Mus musculus: one gene and its partner. The protein of the gene in region 1 purifies or fractionates together with the protein of each later gene. This does not show direct contact. Links are inferred from orthologs where the notes say so. Each region holds a gene or a part of one and is shown on either strand. Other genes may lie near its edges.

What was found.
Region 2: the proteins of Per1 (region 1) and Csnk1d purify together in Homo sapiens (affinity purification with mass spectrometry; 4 studies listed by BioGRID and IntAct, counting the BioPlex papers as one, with this or other methods). This does not show direct contact. The link is inferred for Mus musculus from reciprocal best matches to the Homo sapiens genes PER1 and CSNK1D.

What each region holds. Positions count from the first base shown.
Region 1 is NC_000077.6:69,097,423-69,101,867, forward strand, and holds the start of Per1 (period circadian protein homolog 1), read left to right. Parts: upstream 1-1,526; 5' UTR 1,527-1,586; intron 1,587-2,729; exon of another isoform or gene 2,730-2,773; intron 2,774-3,086; 5' UTR 3,087-3,219; coding exon 3,220-3,494; intron 3,495-3,582; coding exon 3,583-3,681; intron 3,682-3,773; coding exon 3,774-3,928; intron 3,929-4,028; coding exon 4,029-4,150; intron 4,151-4,252; coding exon 4,253-4,445. UniProt on the Homo sapiens protein: Transcriptional repressor which forms a core component of the circadian clock.
Region 2 is NC_000077.6:120,981,308-120,984,952, reverse strand, and holds part of Csnk1d (casein kinase I isoform delta), read left to right. Parts: intron 1-1,609; coding exon 1,610-1,720; intron 1,721-3,645. UniProt on the Homo sapiens protein: Essential serine/threonine-protein kinase that regulates diverse cellular growth and survival processes including Wnt signaling, DNA repair and circadian rhythms. It can phosphorylate a large number of proteins.

The DNA of each region.
Region 1 (4,445 bases):
AGAGAAAGGGGTCTGGAAAAAAAAAAAAGGACAGCACACGGTCACAACGCAGTACGAGGGGGCAGGAGAGCAGCATCATTTTCAGGAGGAGGAAGCTGAGCACTCAGCCTCCCGTGTCTTTTGTTTTCTGTGTTTCCCTGCTTCTGTTTTTCTGGGTTATTTTATAACAGGTCTGTGTCCCAGCATTTCTATAGAACCTTGTCTCGCCCGCCTCCTCTAAGGGAAACACCATTGTTAAGGAAAGCTTTAGCCACGTGACAGTGAGGGGCGTGCACTTAACAGCTGATTATGTCAGCCGCTGCGTGTTGGCCTCTTCACTTGCCACCTACGTTTGCAGGGAAGCCTGAGAACTACTCAGCCCAGGCCTAGGGAAGGGGACTCTGTCACTGTAGCTCTCCTGGACCCAGACTGGCATGTTGTCCCCCCCTCCCCAAAATCGAGTCTCTATTCTCTTTTTATGAATCAATGCTCTACTTTTCTTTTGAAAACATAATTTGTTGCCTCCTCTCCTGAGGCTCTCTCTCCCCTACCTATCCTTAATAGAAACAGAGCCATCCTGTTTACCGAGCATCTACTGTCAGTCCTGACGCTGAGACGTACTTACCTTACTGCTGAGAATACAGTAAATGAGACAGATGGGCTTGCTGCTGGGTTCATGAACCTTGGCTTTTGTATTCTAAGCAGCAGGAATAAAAAGCCCAATAAAAAGCCCTTGCCACCCAGCCACCCATCCTTTTTCTGCCTACTGCTGCAACTGCCCTCTCTGCTGCCCCTTTTGTAGTACTGGCTTCCTGGTCCCCACTTTTGGGGCAGCCCTAAATGTGGGTGGCTGCATCCTCTGCAGAGGCAGCACTAGTCACCAAGTAGGCTTCCTGGAGACCTTTTCTCTGATTGGCTAGTGAAGCACCTGCTTTTGTTTCCTTTCACAGTAGCCATTGGCTTTCCCTGTCCTTTCCGTTTGTCCGTATCCTTCCATCACCCACTCACCCCTTAACGACACGTGGGCCCTCAATTGCCCTTCTCTCAGGATCTGAAGGGTCAGAGGAAAGGGTTGGATTCTTTATAACAAGGCTGGGGAGAGGCCAGGGAATGTCAGTCTAGGTTTTTCTCTCTCCCACTTCCCTTGGGTAGCAGACATTTCATTCACCCGGCACCAGGACAGGTGTCTTGTTCTGCCAAGCTGGTCAGTTTAGGAAGTAGGTTTCTCTTGAGCACTTCCTGTGGCCCAGGTATCCTCCCTGAAAAGGGGTAGTTTCCCTCCCTCACTTCCCTTTCATTATTGACGGTGTGAGACATCCTGATCGCATTGGCTGACTGAGCGGTGTCTGAGGCCCTTCAGCCCAGCACCAGCACCCAAGTCCACGTGCAGGGATGTGTGTGACACAGCCCTGACCTCAGTGGGGGCCAGTAGCCAATCAGATGCCAGGAAGAGATCCTTAGCCAACCGGGGGCGGGGCCTGCGGCTCTTCGGGCAGAAGGCCAATGAGGGGCAGGGCCTGGCATTATGCAACCCGCCTCCCAGCCTCGCGGAGCTTCTGGGTTGCGGGCCGAAACGGCAAGCGGATGGAGGGCGCTCGAACGGCCAGGTAGGGATCCCTGCTGCAATCCTAGGGTTAGTCTTTGTCCCGGAGCTTGGCCGCCACTACTTCCAACGTGATGGGTCGCTTTCAGCTCTCAGAGAGCAAAACAATAATCTGCCTTTCCTGTCACTATCCACCCTTCCCCGCCCCTGGGCCCTAGGTGTTCAACTCAACCCGTCACGGGTTGTCTGCGTTTGTTATTCGTTCACCTAATCTCCTCCTCTGCTCCTCCAGAGCAGCCATCCTGAACCTAAGAGACCTTTAGCGAACACGACCCCTTTACACATTGCTCGACACTCGGGAGTCCATGGGTTTGCCCTAGCCCAAAGACCCCCTTCAGGCTTCTGCGCTCCCTGTCTTCCTCCCTCCAATTCCTGGCCTCGTGCCGGTCGTGATGTCAACCGCTTCAGGCTGGAACATCCTGTTCTCAGCGCTAGTTCTTGCTGTTGGCCACAGCCTTCCTTCCCTTTTCTCCTGGCGCTCAGAAAATACTTGGGATGGGGGTGTGGTTAGACAGGGAGTAGAGGAAAAACTATATATGCTGGTTGTTGTGTGTCCCCTATCTATGTGGTAGTAGGGTTAACTAGAAAAGTAAGGGACGAAGGAAGATGCCTGAGTCGTTGCCTATGGCAAGTGGTAACTCCAGTCCTGGTGTTTGGGAGTGGGCAGGGGCTTGAGAAAGAAAAGCAGTGTCTTGATCAGAATAATGTTCGAGGCAAGAGCGAGGATGGGGGCGTTTCCACAAAGAGCAGAGGCCGAGTGGGGAAGCTAGGACTTGCTCCTGGAGTTCCTCTAGTTTGTTACTCTTCACATGGCTCCTAGGCTCTTTGGGCCCTGGGAATTTGTTATGGTGGGTGTTCTTCTCCTCCCCGCTGCCCTGAACCTTGTTAGCCAGTATGAGGGTGTGTTGGCCAGTATAGGACTGGGTCTGTTTCCCACTTCCACGAAGATGGGGATTGGGGGAGGAGTCGTTCCTGCCCTCCTGTGGTCCCTCCAGCAACCGCTGAGCTCAGCGGCTGACGTCGGTTTCCCTGGCGACCGCGGCTGTGGCGGAAGCGCGTGGTGGGGCCAGGCACATCGGCGCGCATGTGCAGCGGGGGTGGCACCGCCCCCGGATAAAATTAGCCCGGAAGCCTAAATATAGGAGGCGATCAGCTCACCCCCTGCTCCGAGGCCTCAGAGTCCCAGACCAGGTGGGGACCTGATGAGAATTTGGGCATAGGAAACCTGCAAGCTTTGACCCTCAGCTACTGTTCTAGTCGATTGTTCAGGCTGTACTCATTCCACACTGGCAAGGGGTGTAAGAGATGGCCTACGAGAGCTGCCTTTCTACCTGTGGTATCCTTAGGTCCCCCTAAGGAAATAGAACATATTTCTATTGCAAGCCCCAGGCCTGAGTCACAACAGTGAGGGGCAGGCAGAGGAAGGACTGGGTGTAGCCAGCAGATGCTGTGGGGTTAATAGCTCAGCTTTTGCTAAACATTCCTTTTTGGTTTCTTTTTCTAGGTGTCGTGATTAAATTAGTCAGCCCTCAGAGACAGGCGTCCTACCTCCTTTATCCAGACCTCAAAAGCCCCGTTGTGCACCCGTGGTGGCTTCTTCACCTTCCCTGTTTCGTCCTCCACTGTATGGCCCAGACATGAGTGGTCCCCTAGAAGGGGCCGATGGGGGAGGAGACCCCAGGCCCGGAGAACCTTTTTGTCCTGGAGGAGTCCCATCCCCTGGGGCCCCGCAGCACCGGCCTTGTCCAGGCCCCAGCCTGGCTGATGACACTGATGCAAACAGCAATGGCTCAAGTGGCAATGAGTCCAACGGACCCGAGTCCAGGGGCGCATCTCAGCGGAGTTCTCATAGTTCCTCTTCTGGCAATGGCAAGGACTCAGCTCTGCTGGAGACCACTGAGAGCAGCAAGAGGTGTGTACGAGTGTATGTGTGTGTATGATGGCATGATGCTGCTGACCACGTGGCCCTCCCTCACCTTAGCCTGTTCCTTCTTTTCTAGTACAAACTCACAGAGCCCATCCCCACCCAGCAGCTCCATTGCCTACAGCCTCCTGAGTGCGAGCTCAGAGCAGGACAACCCATCTACCAGTGGCTGCAGGTGTGTAGGCTGAGGGCTGAGGGAGATGCCTGGGGGCCGGGCCAGACTTCGGGGCTAATATCTTTACCCCTTCATTCCTGTGGGTCCTGCAGCAGTGAACAGTCAGCTCGAGCCAGGACCCAGAAAGAACTCATGACTGCACTTCGGGAGCTCAAACTTCGACTGCCACCAGAGCGTCGGGGCAAGGGCCGCTCTGGGACCTTGGCCACACTGCAGTACGCTCTGGCCTGTGTCAAGCAGGTTCAGGGTGAGTGAGTTGTGCTTCCTGGCAGGGTCTGGCCAGGACTTGGACTACTGTAGGGGCCTTTCTCCTAACTGAATATGGCTTGGATTCCCTTCTCCTACAGCTAACCAGGAATATTACCAGCAGTGGAGTCTGGAGGAGGGTGAGCCTTGTGCCATGGACATGTCTACTTACACCCTGGAGGAATTGGAGCATATCACATCCGAATACACACTTCGAAACCAGGTCAGTTACAGCTTGGGTCCTCAGTTCTAACCCCCCTCCCCGCCCCCCCACCCCCCATTCCTACAGCTCCTAAGTCTTCCCCCGGTCTTGGTCTCATTCTAGGACACCTTCTCTGTGGCTGTGTCCTTCCTGACAGGCCGGATTGTCTATATTTCGGAGCAGGCAGGTGTCCTGCTGCGTTGCAAACGGGATGTGTTTCGGGGTGCCCGCTTCTCAGAGCTCCTGGCTCCCCAGGATGTGGGTGTCTTCTATGGCTCTACTACACCATCTCGACTGCCCACCTGGGGCACTGGCA
Region 2 (3,645 bases), about 52 Mb from region 1:
CCTGGCTGGCAAGTTCAGCTCAGAGTCCAGGTCCTTAAAAGTAGTCAGAGGTCATTTTTCATCTGCAGATTCATTCTAGATGAAGTCATTTCTTGTGTGAGTGGATAAGCTGCCCTGACTGTAGGCAAGAAGAATAAGATATATTGCTTCTTACTATAGTGTTCCCAAAGATTTCTTGTGGAGTAGTAAGTGAAGTTCTTCCACCTAGATATGTCAGTGGCATTCCTGTTATTCTTACAGATCTGCAGCATCGGAGATTGGCTTTTGGCCCAGGTGTGGTCAGAGCAGCCAGCCATCTGACAGACCAAAATGACTTGTCTATGATTCTTGGGTGGCAGCAGACACAATTTGTTGGCTTTAGGTTGTCCCTATGCCTATAGGCCACCTAAGTGACTCATTCCTCGGCTCCCTGTGAAACTCTTGCATACCCCTCCCATCTCAGTTAACAAAGAGATTGAGTCACGGAGAGCTAGCCAGGCTTCTCAGTCCACAGCTTCTCTACCCAGCACAGAACCTGGTCATGCTTGGTTGTATCAGGCTCTATTTAAAAAAAAAAAAAGAAAAGAAAAGTACAAATCTTTTTCAAATAACTACAGTCCTTGGAGTATAGAACTGCTTTCCACTTAGAAACAACCTGTCGAGGAAGAGGGCTGTGTGGAATGTTAGGTCCTGGATGTACCATGCAGAAGCAGGGAAACTCCGAAGCAGCCTGGACCAGGTAGACTGAGGAACATTTATGTGGGAGCTTTTAGAGTAAAGCATGAAAGGGATGCTTACAGATAACACCGTCTTTACCTCCAAATTCCACAGCCCTAGTTATCGTAACATCGTCACAAATTAACAAAAACTCTGTGGCCCCAAGGGGCTGAGGGTGGCACCTGCCTTTAATCCTAGCATTTGAGAGACAGAGGTAGGTCAGTCTGAATTCAAGGCCAGTCTGATCTACAAAAAGGAGTGGAGAGTTTTCCCTTGGTTTAGTTGAGGGTCTTTGTTAAGCCTATGGTAGTTTGTTTGGAGATGATTGTGTCCACATTAGAACCACTGGTGAGAAACTGTTGAGGTGTGTGGGTAGACGTCAGGCTTGTCTGGCCTGAGATCGGGAGGAGAGAGAATAGGGGGACACTCAGCTGTCCTCCTCTTGGGAGACTCAGGCACGCTCCAAAAGGCCTATCAAACCGTCACAGAGAAGCATCCCATTGCTCTCTGTCTTAGTTAGCCCTGAGTGGGTAGAAGGAATGGGGCCTGCAGCTATATTGACTAGCTGGTGGGTACAATGGGTACAGGTAAAAATGGAAGGTAGAATGTCAAAGATGTTTTCTTACATGTTTTTGAATAAAGATAGTTTTTTTGTGTGTTGGTCAGCCAGCAGTACCTTCTCTTAATAGGAAGTACAAAGCACTATCATTTAGTCCGTCTTAGGAAGCCAGTACTATAAGGGGTAGGGTGTGGTGTGGTTCAGTGGCATGGTTTTGGCCATGTGCAAGGGTGTTGGATTCCATCCCTAGCACTGTTCCTGCCTCACAAAGATGTAATGGATATCAAATAACCCAAAAGCTTTGGGTTATGTGGTAGACACAGAATAATATATGTAACTTTGTTTGTTTGTAAGGTACGGACATTGCTGCGGGAGAAGAAGTTGCCATCAAGCTTGAATGTGTCAAAACCAAACATCCTCAGCTCCACATTGAGAGCAAGATCTACAAAATGATGCAGGGAGGAGGTAAGGTTCATGTTCAGTTCATGTCTACCATAGCCTACAGATGATACATAGCTTACAGATACATCGCCTACAGATAGAGCAGACCTCACACCCCAGAGGAAGCAGACTTAATGGGCTTTGCTTAAGAGCTCCCCCTATTAGCTTCCCATTAAATGATAATGTCTTTGAAAGATGGATTTTGTGTAAATTTCAAAGTAAACATGGTGCTCCTTGTCACAGCACAGTGCTTCCTGCTAGCTGGCTTCTTCTGGGTCACATGCTTTCCTTAGAACTTGAGGGTAGTCTCATAAAACTCTGAAGTTTCAGTTTTCTCTTGGATAGGAGTTTTGAACATAACTTCTCTGACTCCCAGCTAAGTCACTGTTCTCAGTTCTGTAAAACTTTACTGCAAGACCTTGGAGTACTAAGTAGTTTGCCTGATGAAACAGGAGCTCTAATTTGAGGCTTTCAAGACCATGAGACCCAACCCCACCTCCTAGGATAGGAGCCTGCTTGTGACAGGATTTGTATCTGAAAAACAAACAAACAAACAAACCACAGAAGCCTCTGTGGTGCTGTGATAGTTGGAATAGGGAGGAGAGCCCCCCACCATGTGACCATGTGACCCCCCCACCATGTGACAGACTCTTTATTGGCCTCAGCAGGAAAAGGGAAACTGTTGGTTTGATGTTTTGTTGCCCTCCCTCAGCAAAAGCAATTTAATTCTACCTCTCCTGGAAACCAACTTTCTCTAACAAAATGTCTAAGGCAGTAGCTGCATGCCATTGTGTGTCCATCTTAGTGGCCATTGTATTCCCTTAATGTCCATTGTATCCTATCCTGGGTATAGAATCAAAGGAGGCCATAGGTAGATGAACAATACCTGGTGACATCCACACATACCTTCCAAACATAGGGCTGGTGCACATATGAACTCACAGAGACTGTCTATGGGCCTAATCCAGATGGGTTCCCAGCCCCAAGAGAGGAAGTAGACACAAGCGACCATCCCTAAACCAGAAGCTATCTCCAACAGAGTATCACCAGTTATACAAAACAAGCCACTCTTAAGGATAAATGTCATGCCCAGCAGTAGATGAACAAGACAGCATGAACTCAATGGCATTTTTGGGTTCCTTGTCTCATAATGATTTGTTTGGACATTTTTGTTCTTTTTTCTTTTGCTTTTCCTGTCAGATCTTTTGCTTATGTTTTATGGTTTCTGGTGTTGTGTGTTAATTGGGAGTTCTCTGTGTGTCTCTGCATCTGTATGTGTTTCATGTGCTCTTTGGTTCTTTTGTTGTTTTATCCTTTTCCGTTTTGTTGGGTTTTATTTTTAACTTTATTTTCTCAAAAAGAGGTCAGCAGAGTCCCAGTCCTGTACGCCTGCCCTTTGGCACATCCTCAGTAGGACAGTCTTCGTGAGGGCATTAGCTTTTGTAACAAGTGGAGTAGAACAAAACAGCATAAGAATTAAGCTTAATGCATGAAGGGGTTATAATAAGTTCTGAAAATGTGCTAGCCTAGAGTGCCTAAGGGTGCTGCAGCCTGATAGTGGTCAGAAAGGAGCATAGTGGGCTCCAGAGAGGCACGAGGTTCCAGCATCCCTGCCATGTGCTATGGTTACTGCTCTTTTTTTTTTTTTTTTTTTTTTTTTAAAGATTTATTTATTTATTATATGTAAGTACATTGTAGCTGTCTTCAGACACTCCAGAAGAGGGAGTCAGATCTCCTTACGGATGGTTGTGAGCCACCATGTGGTTGCTGGGATTTGAACTCTGGACCTTCAGAAGAGCAGTCGGGTGCTCTTACCCACTGAGCCATCTCACCAGCCCTGGTTACTGCTCTTTGTGCACTGTGTCAGTTGCCCTCCCAGGTTATGATTGGAGAATAAAGTTGTGGATAGTGCAGGGTACCTACTGCTGGGTAGCATTACTCACTGTGTG